Chlamydomonas reinhardtii: one gene and its partners. The protein of the gene in region 1 binds, or shares a complex with, the protein of each later gene. Links are inferred from orthologs where the notes say so. Each region holds a gene or a part of one and is shown in the gene's direction. Other genes may lie near its edges.

The links.
Region 2: CHLRE_04g217550v5 (region 1) and CHLRE_12g498100v5 share a complex: the UniProt entries of both Arabidopsis thaliana proteins name them as parts of the eukaryotic translation initiation factor 3 (eIF-3) complex. The link is inferred for Chlamydomonas reinhardtii from reciprocal best matches to the Arabidopsis thaliana genes EIF3C and EIF3E.
Region 3: CHLRE_04g217550v5 (region 1) and CHLRE_12g515650v5 share a complex: the UniProt entries of both Arabidopsis thaliana proteins name them as parts of the eukaryotic translation initiation factor 3 (eIF-3) complex. The link is inferred for Chlamydomonas reinhardtii from reciprocal best matches to the Arabidopsis thaliana genes EIF3C and EIF3K.
Region 4: CHLRE_04g217550v5 (region 1) and CHLRE_16g676314v5 share a complex: the UniProt entries of both Arabidopsis thaliana proteins name them as parts of the eukaryotic translation initiation factor 3 (eIF-3) complex. The link is inferred for Chlamydomonas reinhardtii from reciprocal best matches to the Arabidopsis thaliana genes EIF3C and TIF3H1.

The regions. Positions count from the first base shown.
Region 1 is NC_057007.1:243,059-248,200, forward strand, and holds the start of CHLRE_04g217550v5 (uncharacterized protein), read left to right. Parts: upstream 1-2,092; 5' UTR 2,093-2,289; coding exon 2,290-2,292; intron 2,293-2,358; coding exon 2,359-2,543; intron 2,544-2,625; coding exon 2,626-2,734; intron 2,735-2,903; coding exon 2,904-3,176; intron 3,177-3,332; coding exon 3,333-3,434; intron 3,435-3,612; coding exon 3,613-3,716; intron 3,717-5,054; coding exon 5,055-5,142. Other genes in the region: CHLRE_04g217500v5 (uncharacterized protein), read left to right, coding at 75-566, 759-1,057. UniProt on the Arabidopsis thaliana protein: Component of the eukaryotic translation initiation factor 3 (eIF-3) complex, which is involved in protein synthesis of a specialized repertoire of mRNAs and, together with other initiation factors, stimulates binding of mRNA and methionyl-tRNAi to the 40S ribosome.
Region 2 is NC_057015.1:3,278,237-3,283,350, forward strand, and holds CHLRE_12g498100v5 (uncharacterized protein), read left to right. Parts: upstream 1-1,782; 5' UTR 1,783-1,859; coding exon 1,860-2,015; intron 2,016-2,174; coding exon 2,175-3,305; 3' UTR 3,306-4,884; downstream 4,885-5,114. Other genes in the region: CHLRE_12g498150v5 (uncharacterized protein), read right to left, coding at 1-375, 583-750, 1,016-1,144, 1,438-1,481. UniProt on the Arabidopsis thaliana protein: Component of the eukaryotic translation initiation factor 3 (eIF-3) complex, which is involved in protein synthesis of a specialized repertoire of mRNAs and, together with other initiation factors, stimulates binding of mRNA and methionyl-tRNAi to the 40S ribosome.
Region 3 is NC_057015.1:3,874,850-3,879,776, reverse strand, and holds CHLRE_12g515650v5 (uncharacterized protein), read left to right. Parts: upstream 1-1,734; 5' UTR 1,735-1,762; coding exon 1,763-1,840; intron 1,841-1,952; coding exon 1,953-2,129; intron 2,130-2,323; coding exon 2,324-2,432; intron 2,433-2,594; coding exon 2,595-2,719; intron 2,720-2,999; coding exon 3,000-3,076; intron 3,077-3,479; coding exon 3,480-3,573; 3' UTR 3,574-4,229; downstream 4,230-4,927. Other genes in the region: CHLRE_12g515700v5 (uncharacterized protein), read right to left, coding at 241-543, 728-1,373; CHLRE_12g515600v5 (uncharacterized protein), read right to left, coding at 4,258-4,341, 4,414-4,560, 4,663-4,927. UniProt on the Arabidopsis thaliana protein: Component of the eukaryotic translation initiation factor 3 (eIF-3) complex, which is involved in protein synthesis of a specialized repertoire of mRNAs and, together with other initiation factors, stimulates binding of mRNA and methionyl-tRNAi to the 40S ribosome.
Region 4 is NC_057019.1:3,506,805-3,511,934, forward strand, and holds CHLRE_16g676314v5 (uncharacterized protein), read left to right. Parts: upstream 1-2,010; 5' UTR 2,011-2,106; coding exon 2,107-2,286; intron 2,287-2,448; coding exon 2,449-2,558; intron 2,559-2,991; coding exon 2,992-3,694; 3' UTR 3,695-4,313; downstream 4,314-5,130. Other genes in the region: CHLRE_16g675958v5 (uncharacterized protein), read right to left, coding at 1-319, 567-863, 1,291-1,516, 1,592-1,632. UniProt on the Arabidopsis thaliana protein: Component of the eukaryotic translation initiation factor 3 (eIF-3) complex, which is involved in protein synthesis of a specialized repertoire of mRNAs and, together with other initiation factors, stimulates binding of mRNA and methionyl-tRNAi to the 40S ribosome.

The DNA.
Region 1 (5,142 bases):
GCGCGGGGCGTGCGTGTCACATCCACACACACGCACTCCAAGGCACTGACGCCCACACCGACGCCCAACCCCAGGCGTGCTCCGCCCCTTCCTGGCGGACTGGCGGGCAAAGTCGCCCCCGGCCCCCGACCCCGCCCACCCCGACCCCGCCCCGGCTCCGGCCCCGGCCCCGGCTCCCGACCCGGCCCACCCCGGCCCCAACCACGACCCCGACGCCGCTGCTCCGGCCCCTGCCCCGGCTGCTGCTGTCGGGGGGATGCTGCTAGGCGACCCATTGGCCACTGCCATAGCGCTGGGCCTGGGCGGGTTCGGGACGGGGCCGGAGCTGGTCGCGCCGCGGCTGGGCGGGCCGGAGGATACCGGGTTTGAGTTCGGGACGGGGCCGGAGCTGGGCGCACCAGAGGCCGCCGGGGTCGGGTGCGATGGGCCAGGGCAGGGGGCGGTGCGGAGCCGCGGGGGTGCTGGGGTTGATGCCGGCGACGAGGCGGCGGCGGCGGCGGCGGGTCCCACGGCGTCGGCTGTGGTGCTGGAGTGGCGGCCGGCGCGGTGCAGCGTTGTTCTGCAAGGTGCGCCTGACAGTTATCAGCTTGATGGACCGGGCGAAAAGAGCACAATGGAGGGCAACACGCGCATGCCTGCTGCGGGTTGTGGCTCAAAGACCTGAACGGTTGTGTGCCCAACTGCGAATCCACGTCAGTAGTTACTGTCTGTCCGGCTCAACGCGCTCCTGCCCTGGTCACACACCCACACTCCCACAGGCGAGCGGCGGGGCATGAGCCTGCTGCGGCCGGTGGCGGTGGCGGGGCCGGTGGCGGTGGCGGGGCCGGTGGCGGTGGCGGTGGCGGTGGCGGGGCCGGTGGCGGTGGCGGTGGCGGTGGCGGAGGCGGCGGCAGCGGCCGCATCAACGGCGGCGGCTAGCGTGGGCGGCGGTCGGAGAGGGGAAGCAGCCGGGGCAGTGAGGAGGGAGGGGGAGGAAGGGGCGCTGGTGGCGGTGGCGAGCCGTCTGGATGTGGGGGCGGTGACACGGTTGGTGTTGGCGGCGGCGGGCGTGGAGTGACGACGCAGGAGGCTGGGATTGGAGGGCACGGTACCCATGGCAGCGTTTGTGTGGTGGCTTCTGGACGGAGGGGAAGGGGGCTGTGCTCATGAGGCATGAGGACAAAGCAACAAGAGAACACGTGGCAAAGGCAGGAGCTGAGGAGCCTCAGGGGGCGGGGCAGCTGACGGCGGGTCGGCTGGGCAGTCCAGAGAGGTGCTGTCAGTGGTGTGTGGGCGCTGTGTGCTTTCCGTGATTGCGGCACGCCGGAAGCCGGCAACATGAGTACATGCGTATTGCGTAATGCGGTACGAAGTACCAAATCCAGGCATGTCACTGCCCCGAGAGACCTGTCGTCATCGCCGCCGCCGCTGCCACGCCCGCTGCCCTGCACTGCTCGTGCCTCTTCCTTCTTGACAGAGAGCCACGCACCGTGTGCAGGGGGGGGGGCGCCCTTTTAGCCTCGTGGCCTCGTGGTTGTATGGGGCGACGCTTGGAGCCCTCGGCGTTCGGGGTCCCTGGGCCGGGGATTGTAGGGACCCCCACATCGGGTCACCAGCAGTGGCGGGTGGGCGGACACAGCAGGCCTTCCTCGCTGTTCCTCGCAGCCTCGCTGTTCCTCCTGCAGGCGGCGCTGTTGCGACGGGAGGAAATGACGAAGGTGGTGCAAGCATAAGTAGCACGGCCGGGGCATAGGAATGCTGGCGGCAGCGCTCGCAGAACAACGAGTCGCGCCGCAGTGGGCCACAGCGCAGCAGATGATGAAGTCAGACCTGGGGCCAACGCACGCGGCGAAGGCAGCGGCGAAGGCAGCCGAACGCGCAGCCGAACGCCCAGCCGGGCTGGCGGGCTGCGAGGTGCAGCGGAGAGCGAAGATAACAGCAGCTGCAGTGGAGTGTCGTCCTCGCGCTGCTTACTGTGCTGAGGGTGGCAGGGGTGTGGTGGGGGCGATGGAGGTTGCCACCGGGCAGGCGCAGGGGAGGCGTGCCACCGTGCCAGGACGACCTTGGTGCATTTAACACGCACATAATTGAATTAACTAGCAGTGGTTTCTGTGCAGTCTGTAGCAGCCCAGGGCTCAGGGAGCAGACAGACCATCATTCCGCGCGCGCTGCATCGCAGCCCCTCCACCAGAAGCCGCTTCCCCTGAACCGGCACCCGTCCTTTCCTACTTGTTAGGATACATTTGCGGCAAAGTCCGCACTTGCATTTATCACAACAGTCTCTTTTCGCGCCGCCGACTAGATCGAAAAATGGTAGGACGTTTCGCTCTTCCCCTCGGCGCTGCCTTTTGCTGATCTGGAGTTTCTTTTTCTCTGCAGTCTAAGTTCTGGGGCCGCGGCGAGAGCGAGGATGAGGAGGAGGAGACCACTGAGGAGGAGAGCAGCGAGGAGGAGGGCAAGAGCTCCTCCTCCGGCGACAGCTCCTCGTCGGACTCTGACAGCGACTCGGACTCTGACTCCGACTCGGACTCGGACTCCGACTCCGACGACGACGGGCCCAACAAGTGAGCACATCGCAGCCGCCGAGGTGCCCTGCGCGTGCATCGCCCAGCGCTCACCGTTTTTGTGTTTATGCTATGATTTCAGGTTCTTGGCTGGGTCCAGCGACTCGGATTCGGACAATGATCGCCGCGTGGTGAAGAGCGAGAAGGACAAGCGCATGGGCGAGCTCGCGCAAACCGCTGAGGACATCCGGGTGAGGCCTGGAGCTTCGACTGGAAATGTGCAGAGCGATGGGGTGGCCACGGGGCGCCGGGGAACGATCGACGGTGTGGCGGGAGAGATGCGGCAAGGCTTTTTTGCGCGAAAACCGGCGTTCTGAGCGTCTATCACGCTGCGGCTGCATTCCTATTGTGTATTTACAGAACAAGATGAAGATCAACGACTGGAGCGCTATCCAGGAGCTGTTCGACACGCTGAACGCGCGCCTTGACAAGACGCGCAAGTTCCTGTCTGGGCCGATGCTGCCGCGCGTGTACCTGAAGCTGCTGGTTGACCTGGAGGATTACCTGAATGATACTCTGGCGAACAAGGAGCTGGTGAAGAAGAAGATGTCGTCCACGAACGCGAAGGCGCTGAACACCATGAAGCAGCGCCTGAAGAAGCACAACACGCCCCTGCTGGAGCAGCTCAACAAGGTCGGCCGGGGGTCAGCAATGGAAAGATAGGGGGGAAGCGCACGCAGAGCGGCAGCGGGCTGCGGGGGTCCGGGCCACCGTGTGCGGGAGGAGGATGCGTGCCTCAGACTCTGCAACACCCCATTAAATGCTGCGAAACGCCTGCGCATGCCACAGGTCCGCGAGAACCCCGACGAGGAGGACGAGGTGTCGGAGGCGGACAGCAGCAGCAGCGAGAGCGGCAGCGACGACGAGCGCGACGCCGAGGAGCGCAAGCAGGTGCGCTTGCATTTGTGTTTCGTGTACCGTGTGTCTGCCTGGACATGTGCTGCCAACTGCTACTCTGTTCGTCACTGCCATCGTCTGACTAACCATATGCCTGGAACCCTTCCCCCCGCTACTGCTAACCCCCACGCGCTCCCCCTCCATACGCAACCCTGGCCTTCCATAACAATAGGGCGCCCTGGCCGCCAAGGCCAAGGACAAGCTGCTGACCATGGACCCCAAGGAGATCACCTACGAGATGGTGGCGCGCAAGATGAGGGAGATCGTCATGGCCAGGTAGAGGAGGCGGACGGGGGAGGGCGGGCTGGGCGGAGGAGGGGGAGGGCGTAGGCGGGACGGGGAACGGCGGCACGTACGGGCTGGCAGAGACGTGGAGCTCCGAGATTGGTGGCAACGCTGGGATCCCATCAGCTGACGGCGAAGGAGCGCGGAGAGCTACCCGCTTGCACAGCAGCAGCGGCAGCGGGAGCTGCGTCAGCGGCAGCGGCAGCAGCAACGGCAGCAATGGCGCCAGCAGCAGCAGCAGCAACAGCAGCGACGGTATTGCCGCATTGTGTGACTGCAAGCTGAGGGCGGGCTCTACTGCGACGCGGCTCGCGGAGGGGGCTTTGGCCAGGGGTTATGGCTGGGGGTTACGGAGGCGCCCGATTGCCACCGTGGCTGTGTGCTGCGGCTGTGGCGGCGCCGCTGCCAGGCAGCGGCGGGCGGCGCCGCGCTGGCGGCAGGAGGGACTTGGGGGGCGGGAGAGCACCGGGCGCACCAGCGGCGGCAGTGGCGCGGCTGGCACGGCGGCGTATGGCTTGGCGTGGGCTGGCGCGCTGGCATGCCCGCCTGCGCGGCAAGGTGCGCTACGGTGCAGCAGCAGCTGTTGCTGCTACGGCCTGGCCCTCCGCCACAGCGGCTGCGGCGGCGCCTCCACCTACAGTGCCGGGAGGAAGGGAGGGAGGTGCTGGACTGCAAGCCGCCGCCTGCAGCGCCGCCGCCTCCGCAGCCGCCGCCACAGCAGCAGCAGACAGGCAGGGGCACTGCATGGCGGCGCTGGAGTAGCAGTGGACGCACTGGACAAGGAGCCAGGCGCAGCTGCAGGGGGGCGGGGCAGGCCCGGCCGCTCCCGCCGCACAGTCCGTCGGTCCAGCGGGAAGAGGGGGGCGGGCATTTATGGAGGAGGCGGGCGGCTCCCCTGGCGCGCGGCTCGGCACGCGGCGGCGTCGCGGCGGCGTCGCGGCGGCGTCGCGGCAGCGGCGACTGCCGGCTGCAGCGTTGCTGGCAGTGCTGGCAGTGACAGAGGGGGGCGGCGGCAGCTGTTGCGGACACGTTCCCTGCAGCAGCAGTAACATCAGCAGCAGGGATAGCAGTAGCAGTTGCAGCAGTCGAAGCGCGGTCGGCGGCTGGCAGCGTCGCTGGCGCGTGTGCCGTGGCTTTCTCGCGGCGGTCTGGGCGGCGCGGCGCTGGTTCCGGCTGTGCTGACGTACCGGCCTGTTCACAGCGGGCACCCGTGGCACTCATCACGCACTCGTCACACATCCCCGCCACATCCCCCCACTTCCTTAACTAATCATGAATGTAACCCCACACACACACCAACGCACGCACCTTGTTCCTACCCCACCTCAGGGGCCGCCGCGGCACCGACAAGCAGGAGGCGGTGGAGATGCTGACCTACCTGGCCACCGTGGCGCGCGGCGCGGCGCAGAAGTTCGAG
Region 2 (5,114 bases), on another chromosome or scaffold:
GCTCGTGCTTCCTCTACCGCCCCCGGCGCCGGTGCGCTGCTGCTGCCGCCGCCACCGGCGGTGGTGACGAGCGGTAGGCCGGCCAGCTGCAGGCTGTGCACACCACCGCGGTGGGCCGCCGGCAGCGTCAGCAGCACCGACGCCGACGCCACGTCCACCAACACGATGCTGCCATCGGCCAGCCCTGCAATCACGCGGCCGCTGGCCCCGGCGGCGGGGCCGGTGACGTTGACGGCGACCAGGCACTGGACGCGGCTGGGCAGAAGTGGCGCCGTGGAGCCCGCGCGCGTAAGCGGCTTGCGGACGCCGGTCTCGGGCACCCACAGCACCAGGCCGCCGGAGGCATCGCCCGCCACAAACTGCAGCACCGGCGAGCTACGGCATTGGAAGGGTGTGGGCAATGGAGCCGTGTTGGGGCCGGGTGACCACAGGACATTCACGCGATACCTACCAACGCTTGAGCATACCACCTCGGAAACTCCAGAGTGCAGACTGCCCCCCTATACCAGTCCTTGGCCATCAAGGTTACCGTACCGCAAGCCCCCGTAACCCTGCGAGTGTCCGAACCGACATGAGCCCCACCTGGGCAAAGCCACCAGCGCTGTGACCTCGGGCGCCTTGCCCTTGCGGTGGGTGCGCACCGGCTCCCCGCTGACCATGTCCCAGCACCTCAGCGAACCATCTTCGCAGCCCGCCGCCACCAGCGGGCGACCACCGACGCTCTCAGGCGGCAACGCCACACATGTCACTCTGCACGACAGGCCCGCGGCAGGGACACGCTTGCGAGCAAGTCCTGAGCGGCATGTTGGGGTTCCACTACAGTGGCTGTTCGCTATGCCAGGGCCAGGACGTTGCTGGCACGTGAGGACATGCGCCACCAGATGTGTGCGAAGGCCGCGTCGCGGCTTCAGCAACACGCAGGCCGAGCGCAGGCAGCAAATTGCATGTGCTGCCCGCAATCATCCCGACCCACCCGCTGCCCACCCACTACCTTGCAACCCAAGGCTGTGCGCACCTGCTCCCGCCCGTGGGCAGCATGCGCTGCACGGTGCGGCTCTGCGCGCAGGCCACCACCACCGCGTAGTGGCCGCCATACGCCACCAGCTGCTGGCTCGGCAGCACCGCCACCACCTGGCTGCTGAACCTGTGGGCATGTGAGGCGCATCAGTGACCTTACCAATGGGTGTGATGTGGTCTGACATGTAGGGGCTACGAGCTATGTGGCATAGCGCGGCGCAATCGGCGGTTGACAGTGCGTGCGGCTGTGACCCCGGCCCCTGCTTCCGGAATGCGGGTTTGCGGCCCGTGGGCGCACTGGCTTGAACAGGCCTGACACTCTAGCCCTTGCACCACTTGCAAAACGCATCAAGAGTACAGGAGCAGCGAACGGCGTGGGCAAAGCACGGACGCTGGCTCCCGACTCCCGACTCCGCCTACCAGTTGGGGGAGGGCGGCAGGACCACCGCCGACGGAGCCGCCATTGTCTCGTGATTGGCTGCGCTGTTTCTGGGCTCCCGCAACCCTCACCAGAGTCGCGTAGGCAAGCGCAGAGAAACGCAAGAGTGTGGCGATAGAGATCACGTCATTTCCCTACAGAGAAAGGGAAATGTGCCGATGCCCTATCTATACATACACCTAACCTCTTATGTATTAGTTCGGAGTCCGAAAGCCCGTTTTGAGCGGGCCAGGCCGATGGGCACTCGGACCCCCATCCGGCACAGCGCGAGAGCGGGCTGCGCACCGGGGCGTAGATCGCCCGTTCCTTTGTCATTCCCGCAGCCCCCACCCCATAATTGTTTCACAGCGGACTGGTCAGGCCTTAGGACTAGGCAAGGGGCGTAGCCGCCGCCGAGAGAAAGATGGCTGCCACCAACTATGAGCTTTCTTCCAAGCTGGTCCAGTATCTGGACCTGCACCTTACGCTGCCTATTATGGAATACCTCCAAGAGCGCGGCCTTTACAATGAGGACGACATCCTGCGCGCCAAGCTGGCGCTGCTGGACAAGACGAACATGGTACGCGCTTAGTGTTTAGATCTGGAGACCTGGCACTTGGAATGAGCTATTGGACAGGCTGGGGATGCCGGAAGCGGGAAGGGCAGCTCAGCGAGTGCAGAGGCCATCGGCCTTTCCAGTTTGAGTCCGGGTCGCTGAGCGAAAAATTCGATGTTGTAGGTGGATTTTGCGATGGATATCTACAAGGGCCTAAACGGCGTGGACGAGGTGCCTGCGGAGATGAAGGACCGCCGCAGCCAGGTGGTGGCGCGTCTTCGCCAGCTGCAGGCGGACGTGGACCCCATTATCAAGTGTCTGCAGAACAGGCATGTGGTGGAGAAGTTCCGTCAGGATAAGAGCTTCAACCTGCAGTTCCTCCAGGAGGAGTTCCAGATTGGCGCGGAGCACGTCGAGGCGCTGTATCAGTACGCGCGCTTCCAGTTCAACTGCGGTAACTACTCGCTGGCGGCGGAGCTGCTGCAGTCTTACCGCACGCTCTGCACCAACAGCGAGCGCAACATCAGCGCACTGTGGGGCAAGCTCGCTGCGGAGATCCTCATGCACGAGGCGGTGAACATCCAGGAGGCACGGGAGGACGTGTTCAAGCTGAAGGAGGTCATCGACAACCAGACGTTCGCCCCCCCGCTGGTGCAGCTGCAGCAGCGCACCTGGCTGCTGCACTGGTCCCTGTACGTCTTCTGGAACCATGAGAACGGCCGCAACGACATCATTGACCTGTTCCTCTCCCCAGCCTACATCTCCGCCATCCAGATCAACGCGCCGCACCTGCTGCGCTACGTGGCGGTGGCTGTGGTCATCAACAAGAAGAAGCAGCGCAGCGTGCTGAAGGAGCTCATCCGCGCCATCCAGCAGGAGTCGTACGAGTACTCGGACCCAGTGACCCAGTTCCTGGAGTGCGTGTTCGTGCACTACGACTTCGACGGCGCCCAGCAGAAGCTGAAGGAGTGCGAGGCGGTGCTGGACAACGATTTCTTCCTGGCGGCCTACAAGGACGAGTTCATTGAGAACGCGCGCCTGTTCATCTTCGAGACGTACTGCCGGATACACCAGTCCATCTCCATTGCGCTGCTGGCGGAGCGGCTGGGCATGGACCAGGAGGCGGCGGAGAAGTGGATTGCCAACCTCATCCTCAACGCCAAGCTGAACGCCAAGATTGACTCCAAGTCGGGGACGGTGGTGATGGGCACGCAGTCGCAGTCCGTGCACGAGCAGCTGGTGGACAAGGCCAAGATGCTGTCCGTGCGCACCTACGTGCTGGCCAACACCGTGGTGGGCAGCGTCAAGCCGTAAGGCACCGCGGCGAGCAGCAGCCGGGGGAGGAGGAGCAGCAAGCAGGTGGGAGTTGGAGCCATGGCGGCGGGCGGGATGGGGTTGGCGGGGGCGCGGGGATGCATGTGGGCCAGGGGGTCGTCTGGGGCTTGGTATTGGCGGGAATGGGGTGGAATAGAAAGGCAAGCTCTGGAGGTGAAGAGTGCTGGATTCCTAAGGGATTGGTAGATGGGGTAGCAATTGCATTGGGCAGACGGCTGCTAGGCCCAGTTCCAGCGGTGCTCCGCACGCGGCATGGCAAGGAAGGGGACCCGCGGCCTGGTAACGGACGTGCAACAATTCGCCGGTTGATACGGAAGAAGCCCTGGGAACTGCGAAGAGGTTCGAAAGGTTGACGTGACGAGGAATCACTTTACCTCAAGCTCTGATCGCCATCCATCATTCCCTTTTGCCTTGTAGATTGCGGGCTTGCTTGTGGACGACAGCGGTGTGCAGGGCGCGGTCTGCCGCTTCGGCAGGCGATTCACGACAGCAGCGAGCTTTGAGTTACGGGATTCCGTTGCGGGATGGGCAGCTTTCTACAGCAGCAAGCGTGGGAGCGCTGGCGACGGCTGCTGCACGGATCAGACCAGGAGCGCTGGGCGGAGGGCGCGGCAGCGGGTGTGGGACAGCGCTGGCGAGCGGCGTTCGAAGGTGCTGATGAGATGAGCAGTGACGTAGACGGGCGACAGCGGCTTTGCAATACAGTGAAGGGCGGTAGGAGCGCGGCGGCTGGAATTTGCAGCAGCTGCACGATTATCCCATGGGCGGGGCGCAAGGGCATGCTTGTTCAGCGACGTGAGACGGGGGGGTCGCCCCCTTGGCAGTGTGTTCGCGCGCGCCAGCAGCAGCGCGTGCCGGGGGGCTGTGCAGCCGCGGCTGGCACGGACTCGGCAACGCTTGTTCGGGTGAGCTCATTGGATGGGCTGTCTCGTGCTAGGGAGGCGGTGCATTCGCGTTCCCGTCGGGCTGGTGCGCTGCAGGCAATGGATTTCCTGGGGCTAGGGTCGGCATTGCCCGCTGCTGGTGGCTGCAGAGTGTACCTGGACGGGCACATGCTTTGGATAAGCCTGAGCGTGGACCGGCGTGGGGGCAATCGGCGTTGGCGTAGTGAGGAGCAGATAGGTTCTCGTGTATGCAGGCAGTGTGGCAGTGCGGCAGTCCGCACACGGGCTGTGGATGTAGGTGTGAACGCTGTGCCAACGAGACTGAAACTACGTAGGATTCGGGCTAGACCTAAGAGGACCATTCGGGGGAATAGGGGTCGGGACAGAATTTCGCAAGCGCAGGCAGGCATTTTCGCTTTCTTGCAATTCGGGTGTTAGCGGGTAGACATGGATGAGACGAATGGGGTATCTAGCGGGTAGAACTGGATTATGTGCGTATGATGGCATCACCATAGAGGCAAGAGTAGCCTCTGCAAAACTGTAGCAGGCTAGATGCACTAGTGCAGTGGAGTGAGGCATGTGATGCAAGGCAGGTGCTGCGCCCGGTTTTGGTTCGTTGCCGCCGGGGCTGGGGCCAGCGCCCGTTTGTGCTGCGACACGTTGTTACATGAGGACTGGCATTGTCTGTGTCGGTCTGCTCCTGCATTCATATGCGGTTATGCGCGGTGCCGGCGGTGGTGGGCATTACTTGCCGGTGCGGTCTGAGACTGTGTCGCCGCCTAACTGCTTACTGGACTCCCACATATACTTCAGTTCGGCGCGCAGCACTACCCCTATCCATCCTGCAGACACGGAGTCGGTCAGAAAGCAGAAGTACAGATCCCGCCAAGGAGCGTAGGACCCG
Region 3 (4,927 bases), on another chromosome or scaffold:
GCAGTTCTCCTTGCCGCGCGAATGTTTCCTTACGGGATTGGTTCAACGTTAACCCCCATCGCCTCACCCCAACCAGGACCTCATCGCACCCACCGCACCTTCCACCCAACGATCCCGCAACCCCCAAACCGGCTGCAGCTAACCCCAGCCCTTACTCTGATTCTGGTTTCCAACCAGCTGCTTCTGTAGCAACCTCCCTCCGCTCTTTCACCCATGGCCATGACACCTCCGCGCTCTCACCCGCATCCAGCAGGAACATGTCGTACAGGTAGTCGGGGCTGTCACCCAGCAGCCCCTGGTACTGGGCCAGCAGCAGCGGCTCCGCATACCGGTCCAGCTTGGGCCGCCCCTCAAACTCCGCCAGCTCCAGCACGTTGCGCAGCGGCGTGCCAGGCGCGGAAGCGCGTCGGGAGGAGGAGGTGGAAGCGGAGGAGGAGCCCTCGGGCGCGGGCTCGTGTGTGTAGGCGGGCGGCCGCAGCCCCAGCACCACCAGCAGCGCCTCAGCCTGGCGCGGTAGCACGAGGCACTCCTCGTACGGCAGGCCTGGGCGCGGGGCAGTCCGGCAGCGGGTGGGCGTTGGGGAGAGATGAGAGTGAGGAGGACGGACGGCGCGCAGGGCGCAGGAAAGGGTGACAAGGGTGCAGGAACGGGCTTCGCAGTAGTGGAGAGTAGAACGCTGCTGGCAGCACCTGATGGCGAGCAAGCGCAAGGGCGCAGACCCACTCACTCCGTATGGTAATGCTCTCCTCCTCTCCATCCTCCTGGGATGATGATTTCACGGCAGCTTTGCGTCTGGATACGCGCTTCTTGGGCGCCTGCAGTTCCCCATCAGGAGCCGCCGCCGCTTCCGGGCCCCCCTCTGCAACTGTCTCGGCTGCTACCTTAGTGCGACGCGTGCGCGTAACTTTTGGCTTTGCTGCAGCTGCGCTATCACCTCCAACCTCTGCTACTCCGGATGCTGAAGCAGCGGCCTCTTCGCCCGGCTCGGCAGCCTGCGCCTTGCGGCACGAGGCACGCTTCTTGGGCACAGCCGCTGCCGCCTCGGCGTCGTCCTCACTCGGCCCAGACGAGGGGTCCAGCCCTGCCTCAGTCGCGCTGTCAGTGGCAGCGGTCTTGCGGCTAGCCCGCTTCTTTGCCACTGGTACATCATCGCTGCTGCCGCTGGGCACGGCGGCGGCCGCGGAGGTTGCCCGGCGAGTGCGTTTGGGCTTGGGCGGCTCGCCGCTGGCACCGTCTACCGCTGGCAGGGCGCTGTCGCTATCAGCGGCAGACGAGGCAGCGGGGAAGCTGCGGAATCTGGGGATAGGTGCTATTGCAGACCACCTGTTGAAGGTCTGCAGCAGCGGCAGCGCCTGCCGCAACCGGAGGAGCATTGTGGAAGGTGACAGGACGCGAAGGGCGGGGCTGGCGCACGACGCTCCTCTTGATCGCTCGAGCGCCCGGCCCCTGCAGAGCCGCTCAAGGCGCGACAGTCTCTCCTAAAGCACGCGATAATTGTGGGGTTCGCGGCGTGTTCGGAGCAGGGAGAGAGCTTGGCGAGCTGTCGAGACGCGCGCTATGCAAGAAATCAGTTTCCCAGTGCGTGTATACAGCTTTACGTTCGTAGCTCATGCAGTATCGTTGCACTTCACAGACTAGAGAGTGGATTCTACCGCTTCGGAGCCCCATCATCGGCCATCGCAGCGTCGCATCCCAGGGTGAGCATCCACTTGTCTTGGTTTTCTTTTACGTTGACACTTCCTTTCTTTACATACCAGTTAAAATGTCTCTTATCGTGACTGGTGCTGATCGTTACTCGCCGGACAAGCTGCCACAGCTTGAGGCGTATGTTGATGAGCAGGTAGATCTGTATTTCTTAGCAGCCCGTTTAGTCCCCTGGCCCCTTGGTGCCAGCACGGCGACACATGCTCGGCGGCGGCAATTTGCGCTGAAAGCGTCCTGCACTGCTGCAGGTCGCGAACCGCTCATGGAGCCTGGATGCTAATGTTACGCTGCTGCGCTTCTACCAGTTCAGCCCGGCCAGCGTGAAGCCTGCCATTGTCGCTAAGGTGCTTATCAAGGCGATCATGCAGGCGCCCGCGCAGGACTACAAATGCTGCATCACGCTGCTTCCAGAGCGCCTGCTGCAGGTGTGCGAAGTGCAGTGGAATGGCGTTTAAAGCGTCAGGGCCTGGGGGAGGGGGTGGGTGGGGTGGGTTAGGGGCCGCACCGTGGGGTGCCGCCCAAGACACGCGGGGAATGCTGTGGCACCTTCATGGCTGTTTCCACACCTCTCCTGTTCCACTATTGCTCCATCCGTTGCACGAACCCTGCATTGCTGCAGTCTGACGAGTCGGTGTACAAGGTGGTGCAGCTCGCAAACGCGCTGGAGACCAGCCGCTTCGGCGACTTCTGGAACGCGGCCAACACCTGCCGCGACCTGCTGGGCGGCAGTAAGTGCAGCGCACGGGGACCTGGCTGGAGTGGGAGCCACTCAGCTAGGACGCAGGGGTTTTTAAAGGCAACGGATGCGGAATCAGAGGCAACAGAGGCGCCCCGATTGCCACACGTCACGAATGCCAATTAAACCAGCTCTATCTGCTGCTCTGCTGCAGTCCCCGGCTTCTACGAGTCGGTGCGCGGCTTCATCGCGCACACGCTGGTGCACACCTACGGCCGCGTGACCAAGCGCACGCTGGCGGACTGCCTAAAGCTGGAGGGCGCCACGCTGGAGCAGTACGTGAGTGATGCATTGCGCTTACGAGTTTCTTATGGGGGGGCGTGGTGGCGGCAGTGTCTCCGTGTGCGTTTACATGTGAATGGTGCGCAGTAAGCAGGGCTGGGTTGGGTAGAAAGGCGTTGAGGAGCGTCGCTTGAGGACGTGAGCGAAAGGGTTAAGCTGTGTGCATACGGCGGGGTGGGAGATTGTGACGCCGGCTTGAAGGTCCCTTCGCCAGTGCGCCTCATCAGCTAGCATCAGGGTAAAAACGCGCCTGCTGGCTGCTTGCTTCTGACCACAGCTGTCTGAAAAGTGCAAGTCGGCTGGCTGGAGCATTGTCAACACGCCCGCTGGCGAGGTGGTGGGGCTCCCCAAGAAGTGAGTACAGGCGCAGAATTCTGGACTGGCCTGCGGAGGGGGCGGGGTCTGCTGGCATTGCTAGGATGAGGGGCCGGGAAGCGGGGCACGCGGGCACACCGTGGGCGCACGCAGAGCTGAAACAGCTGATCGAACATGGTAACATGTTTGGTGCCTCCTGTGCCACATGGCATGATAGCGCCGCGACATCCCATGTCCACCTGCCCACCTCCAATCCTGCCGCACCTGTACTCTGGAAATGCACACCCCGCAAACAACCTCTCCTCCTCCATCAACACTCACCTACATATCGTGCTTATCTAGTATCAGATTGTCCTAAAAACTGGGGTTGTACCCCAAGTGCTACAAGCTCACGCCATTCATGGCCCTCCTGCCCTGTATTACGCCCGCGTTCTGCCCGCAGCGACGACAACCAGTCGGTCGTGAAGCGCACCCAGGAGCTCATCCGCTTCGACCAGGTGGCGCCCATGCTCAAGGCCGTGACCGTGGGCTTTTAAATCAACGCTACTACTGAAATTACTTGACGACACGACCATGACAGCATGACACACAACCATTACTGTCAGACTCTTCTAGGCATTAGATAGAAGACCGTTGGATCCCGGTATGCCCATCGGGTTGTAGACTTGAGTGCGTGAAGGGCATTCGTTGAGAAGCCGTGCCCCGCCTTGGGGCGGTCCGCACACGCATGCGAAGGCATCGCAGAAGGCGTTACTGTACTGACTTTGTTCGGCGGTATGGCACCCCATTACAAAGGAGGCTAGCTGGAATAGTACACGGCGCTTATGTAGCCAGCTGCTGGTGGCGTGTAGCGAGCTTAACGGGAGCCATCGCCTTGGCCAAGCCACGACAGCAGCCCCTTGACGGTGCTGCCTAGGTTCTCCGCAGCGGCGACGCTTGCACTGCGCGAGCCACCGCCGCTGCCCCCCGCGCCAGGGCCGCTGGCACCGCCAGACTCGCTGCCGCCTGTAGGAGCCGAGCCGCCGGTGCCGGGGCGCGGCGCGCCTGCGGACGGGATGTTGCTGCCGCTGCTTCGCTGCGGGCTGTTGTGCGCCGGCTGCCCAGTGACGCTGCGCCACAGGCGCTGCAGCTGGTCCAGCGGGCCGGGCGGCGGCCGCTTGGCGATGGATGCAGCGCGCTCGGCAATGTCGGCCTGTGTGAAGAGATGGGGTTAGAGGCGCTTAGCTTGGAGGCACCCACAGGAGTGCCAAGAGTGCGCAGTATGCATGCGCGTGTATTGTGTAACGTAGAATTTGTTTCGCGTCCTTTGCGCCGTTTGCTTGCTTGGCCCAGATATCGGTACTCTCTGATGCAGACACCTTCCGTACCCTGCCCACCTGCGATTGCGACATGTCCTGGTACGCGGTCGCGTGCGCCGCCGCGCTGGCCGCCCGCTCCTCCGCCTCCTTAGCCGCCTCGGACGCCTGGGCCACGCGCGCTTCCGCAGCCACAATAGCGCTCTCCGCCGCGCTCTCCAGGCCAGCCTGAAGTCACGGCACAAGGGAAAGCAAACGTCAGCTACCCGCCCAAAGCGCAAGTGCCCACATCAGCGTTCATACGCTCGTCAAACCACAGCCATTGCACACCTGCGCCGCCGTGGCTGCTGCCGCCGCCCGCTCTGCCGCCTCTGCCGCGCGCGACGCGGCGCTGCTGGCCGCCGCTGCGTAGGCTGCTGCGCGCTGCGACGCCTCACTGGCTGCCGCTGCGCCGCGCAGCGCCAGCTGCGCCCGCTCCTTCATGGCGCCCAGAGACGTGTCGTCGGGCGACAGGTGCGACAGGGCCGACGTGTCCGGCGCCCGGCTGAGGGGCTCGGGTCGCACGGGAGGAAACGACAACCGCGGCGGCTGGCCC
Region 4 (5,130 bases), on another chromosome or scaffold:
CCACACAGGCCGACAGCAGGCCGCCGCGGTTGTAGGGGTAGAACACTCCCACCAGCGCCAGCGCGAAGATGCACATGGCCATAGCCAGGATCTGCGCGCCCACGCCCAGCATAGCCGAAAACAGGTTTGACTGGGGCGGGAAGCGGAACACATCAGCGTGCAGGTACTTCCAGCCGGTCTCCTCCTGCTCCTCGGCCATCTCGTCGTCGCGCGTGTACTTCATGAAATCGTTCTTCAGCACGCGGAGCAGGATGGTGGCAAGAAAGCCGGTCAGCAGCAGCACCGTCACGCACGAGTTGATGATGGAGAACCAGTGGATCTGTAAGGACGGGGAGGACGCAGCGTCAGCGTCCGTTGGAGTTCAATGTTCGGCACTGAATGCTTGTACCGCCAGCACTGAAACTCGCTCAGCAAACTCTGTCCATCCAGTTCATGTGGCTCCCCAACATCAGCTACTGCGTTTTGCTTGTGCGGCATGCAGATGCATTGAGTGCACTCCGCCCGCTGAACGGAGTCCCCAATGCAGCGCATGCCCAACACATACTCCGCCCCACGCTTGAACTAACCTCAAGATGCTGAGGCAGGAACGAGTAGCGGGCGTAGCGGTCCATGCGGTGGTCAAAGGTGACTGACGACTGCTTCCATTTGACCGAATAGGAGAACTGCACGTCCAGCGTGTCTGCGGTCGTGATGTCCACTGTGCGCATGGGGTCGCTGGACACGTTGATCTCGATGATACGGTCGTCGTTGTAGGACAGGTCGAAGTGGAAGTGGGTAAAGAGGAAGTACTTGTGCGTACCCTGCTGCACAATCTTCTCCACCTTGCCGATGAAGCCCCACACAGGCAGGTCGTCGTAAAACATCTGGGGTCAGAGCCGCGGGGTCAGAGATAAGTACCTAAGCGACGCTCAACAGGAGCACGCACAGGAGCACGCACAGGAGCACGCAAAGAGAACCTAAAGGCAACTTCTTGGGGTAGACGGGGCATATGACGGGTCAAGCCGCTGTTGTGCTTTGGCGCGCACCAGGAACTATCCTCTTCTGGTATGTGCGACAGGTTGCGGGGCAGGTGTGCAGGGTGGCAAGGCCCAACATGCACACGGTAACCCAACATGCGGGCAAACTGCGAATGAGGGCAAACACGCAATAGAGGTGTTGACCGGCGCATGGGGTGTCAGCGACGAGTACAGGCCGGGAGTTGCTGGCAGCGTGCACCGGGCCGGGACGGACACGTCCTGGGGTACACGCGCCCGCACACCCGCTGGTCCCAGTCGTGTCAACCCGCCGCACCTGGAAGTAGTAGTCCTGCTTCACGGCATCCCTGAACTTCTTTAAGTCACCAGCAGTGAGCGTGCGTTTGCAGAGCACCGCGTTCTCAACATCGGTGCGGAACTGCAGCTTGTAGGGAGTTGTCACCAACCGGTCGCCCTCAAGCACCTCGCCTAGGAATTCCGTCTTATACTCCTTGCCGTCAGTGGGCTGGCAGAACGGCAAGTTGTAATACTGGTACGTTTCCCTGCAAGGCAAGGAGCGAAAATCGCGCCGCGTTGGCGCGCGAGCTGGCACCGCTGGCTGCAGCAAAACTACTCACGTCGGGTTTTGAAAGGGTCCGACTTTGTTTGCATACAGCATGATGTCACTTCCGGGCTTGAATTTATGGTCGCTGCCCAGCAAGACTCGCTCCGATGCTACGAGGGCTACAGCGCTTCCGAGCAGCGCTGCCATCAGCAAGCTCGCGCGCAAGCGCGCCATACTGCCAAGTATACTTTGAGGCCTAGCCGCCCTCGTCAACGCGCAAGCTTTTGGCGACTGTTGCGACGATCCTAGTTCGAAACACAGGTGATGCTACTCGTTGTTGTTCAGCATAAGCACGAAGGTACAAGCGCGAAAAGTACAGCAGCAAACTGACATTTCAGGTCTGAGAGAAATTGCATTGCAAATGGAAGTGCGATCGGGCCCCGCATTGCAGCCAAACACACCCTGATCACTGTAGACATCGTGTAGTCGTATCGTTTACTCTTGTGTTTAGCTTTTGAAAAACAGGCTTTGCTTATAGGCACGGCGCCGCCGACTTAGGCCGCTGGTTTATTGCAGAGGCGCTGAAAAATGGAGGCCATCGCTCCTAAGCCGCATAAGGAGCTCGTGAAGACGGTGCAGCTTGAGGGTCAGGTGCTGCTGAAGATTATCCAGCATTGCACTGAGGCGCTGCCCCAGAACGTTACCGGCCAGCTGCTGGGCCTGGATGTTGGTCAACAGCTGGAGGTGACGGACTGCTTCGCGTTCCCGGTGAGCGCTGAGGATAGCAGGCGCTGAGGGCGCCAAGCGGACTTTTGGGCGGCCCCCAGATTGCTCGCGTTGTCGAGCACGCATAGCAGGGGAAAGTCGCGTGTATCAGCATATGCATATGCACAATAAAGATCGGCGATGGTGTGGGCCGGGTGTGTGCAGGCTACCGTGGCGGACGATGACTCCGAGGCAGAGTCGGCCGGCGCCAACTACCAGCTGGAGATGATGCGCTGCCTGCGTGAGGTGAACGTGGACAACAACACCGTCGGCTGGTGGGTGCAGTCAATGCGCGAGCTCGCGGGGGAAAGGAGAGGGAAGGAGTCAGGTGCAAAAGCAGAGGAGGGGGAGTTGACGTGGGGAAGCGCCCTTGGGAAGCGCCCCAAGGCGGGACGGTACCGTAGCACTCATGCTAGCCGCCGGGACATCAGCGGACAAGGGCATGTGCGCACTACATGAGCGGCACGCTAGCTGCGGCAACCACCGTGTATGAACCGCCTGTCAGAGTCCTTGCCTGCGGACACGAGGCCCGTTCGGCCGTTGGCGGGGCTCGAGACTGGCCTGGGGGCGACATGGCCATCAGCCACCCGCGACAGTACCGCAAGCAGAACCTCGGGGTAGCAGCCGCCGAGCATCTTCAGGGCTGGACCCGACTGCGCACCATGCGCTTGCCTACGAACCGTGCACCTGCCGGGCCGCACCCCACAGGTACCAGTCGGCCAACATGGGCACCTTCCAAACCGTGGAGCTCATAGAGACGTTCATCAACTACCACGAGAACATCAAAAAGTGCGTGTGCATCATCTATGACCCCCAGCGCTCATCGCGCGGCAGCATCGCGCTCAAGGCGATCCGCCTCAAGGAGTCGTTCATTGAGCTGAGCAAGGAGCAGAAGCTGACGCTCAAGGGCTTTCGCGAGGCCAACCTGTCGTGGCGTGATATCTTCGTGGAGCTGCCCATCCGCATCCGCAACAGCAACCTGGTGCAGGCGCTGGTGGCGGACCTGATGCCCGCCCCCACCGCGACCCAGGCGGACGTGGAGCGACTCAACCTGTCCTCGGCCCCCTTCCTGGAGCGCAACATCCAGTCGTTGCTGGAGTGCGTGGACGACATTGTGGCGGAGCAGCAGAAGGTGACCATGTACCACAAGAACGTGGCGCGCCAGCAGCAGGCGTACGCGGTGTGGCTGGCCAAGCGGCGGCAGGAGAACCAGCAGCGGCAGGCTGACAACCAGGAGCCGCTGCCGGAGGAGGACCCAAATCTGTTCAAGCCCATTCCCGAGCCATCCATGCTGGATAACTACCTGGTGACCAACCAGATCGCCACCTACTGCGACCAGGTCAACGTGGCGGCGGGCGAGACCATTCAAAAGCTGTTCCTGATGGAGGGCATGCAGAAGGCGGGGTTGTAAGCTCGAGGACCTGCGAGCGGAAGAGCAGGCGCTTGCTGGGGCTGCGGGCTCGGCTGTACAGACCCATGACCACGGGATGCAGACACGGGATGCAGGAGGATGGCACCGCTTATGATGGGTGCTGTCGCAGAGGCTGTGCTTGCAGGGGCCAAACATGAAGCGCGTAGTGTGTGCTGTGGGACTGTAGTGGTTTGAAGGCGGAAGGCGCTGTCTGGTGCAACTGCTCTACCGAGCACACCTACCAGTGGCATTAGTTATTAGGTGCTCAGTTTGAGGGACAAAGGGCGGGATGGGATTGGGTGGGGCGTTTGTGGTATGGCCGCGTTGAAGCACACACAGCTTGCGCTGTTTTGAGCGCGCCAGCTAGCGGCGCATAGGCAGACATGACGAGTGCAGAGTGTTGTTGCTCTAAGAGGGTGGACGTAACCAGTACACGATCAGACATTGTAGGAGGACTGCAGGAGTGCAAGTTGTGAGGTGTCGCTGTGTGCAACCCGCGGCAAGGTCCGTGACGGTTGACTCTCCTCGCGAGGGCGAACATGGGCGCACGTACAAGTAAGACAGCCCACATTCCCTACGCGGCAGGCTCTGCCTTGTCGGTATGTAAGCGTAACGGCATCTTCGCGCGTTCTCGTGCTCAGATATGTTAAGTGTGGTGCCCTCCGTTCATGACTGCGATGCGTGGGGTGGGTATGGGAGGTCGGTGTGCGTGGCTTAATACGGGAACATGGGACTGCGCCTCCCAGTGGCACCCCTGACGGCTCCTTCGCCAGCCTGCGCAGCCCCACAGTGCAACTGTCATTGCAGGCAAAGCCGCCGGCTTTGAGCAATGCGCCGACGCCATTTCTGCTTGTATTGGATTTGTAGGTATTAGCCTGAACTAAACCAAGGGGGGAGGGGTGAGAATCGCGCAGGCACACCCCACACTTCAAACGGCCTTTAAATCAGGGGGGGGGTAGAAAGCTCAATTTCTTACCCCATGCTCAAAATTACAGAGCTTAAGGAGAGCATTATGCACGTGCTTTTAGTTTTTCAAGGGGGCGTCTGGTGAGGAAGTTCTGGGCCGCCAAAGTTGGGGGGTCGGTCCTCGTCCCTGGGGGTCCGTCGGGTTTCGGGAGCCCATCCTGGCGGATTTCGGGAAGCGCCCCACAAGCAGAACTAGGGGCCAAACGCAGCAGTGCGAGGCTCATATGTGTACGTTATGACGTAGTAAGCACAAACCAAGCGTGGGAGGGCTAAGTTGCGCGTCCGGACGTGGACATGTCGGGACATGTCTCCACATTCAACACATGCGCACTGACACAGCTGGGCTCTGAAGCGCTGATGCGCATGAGTTCACGTCTAACAAGGCTGCCGATGCACATTGTCCAACCGTCACGAGGCAAAGAGTTGAGCGCGGGGTGGTCTGGGTCGAGGGGATTTCCATGGATAGGATC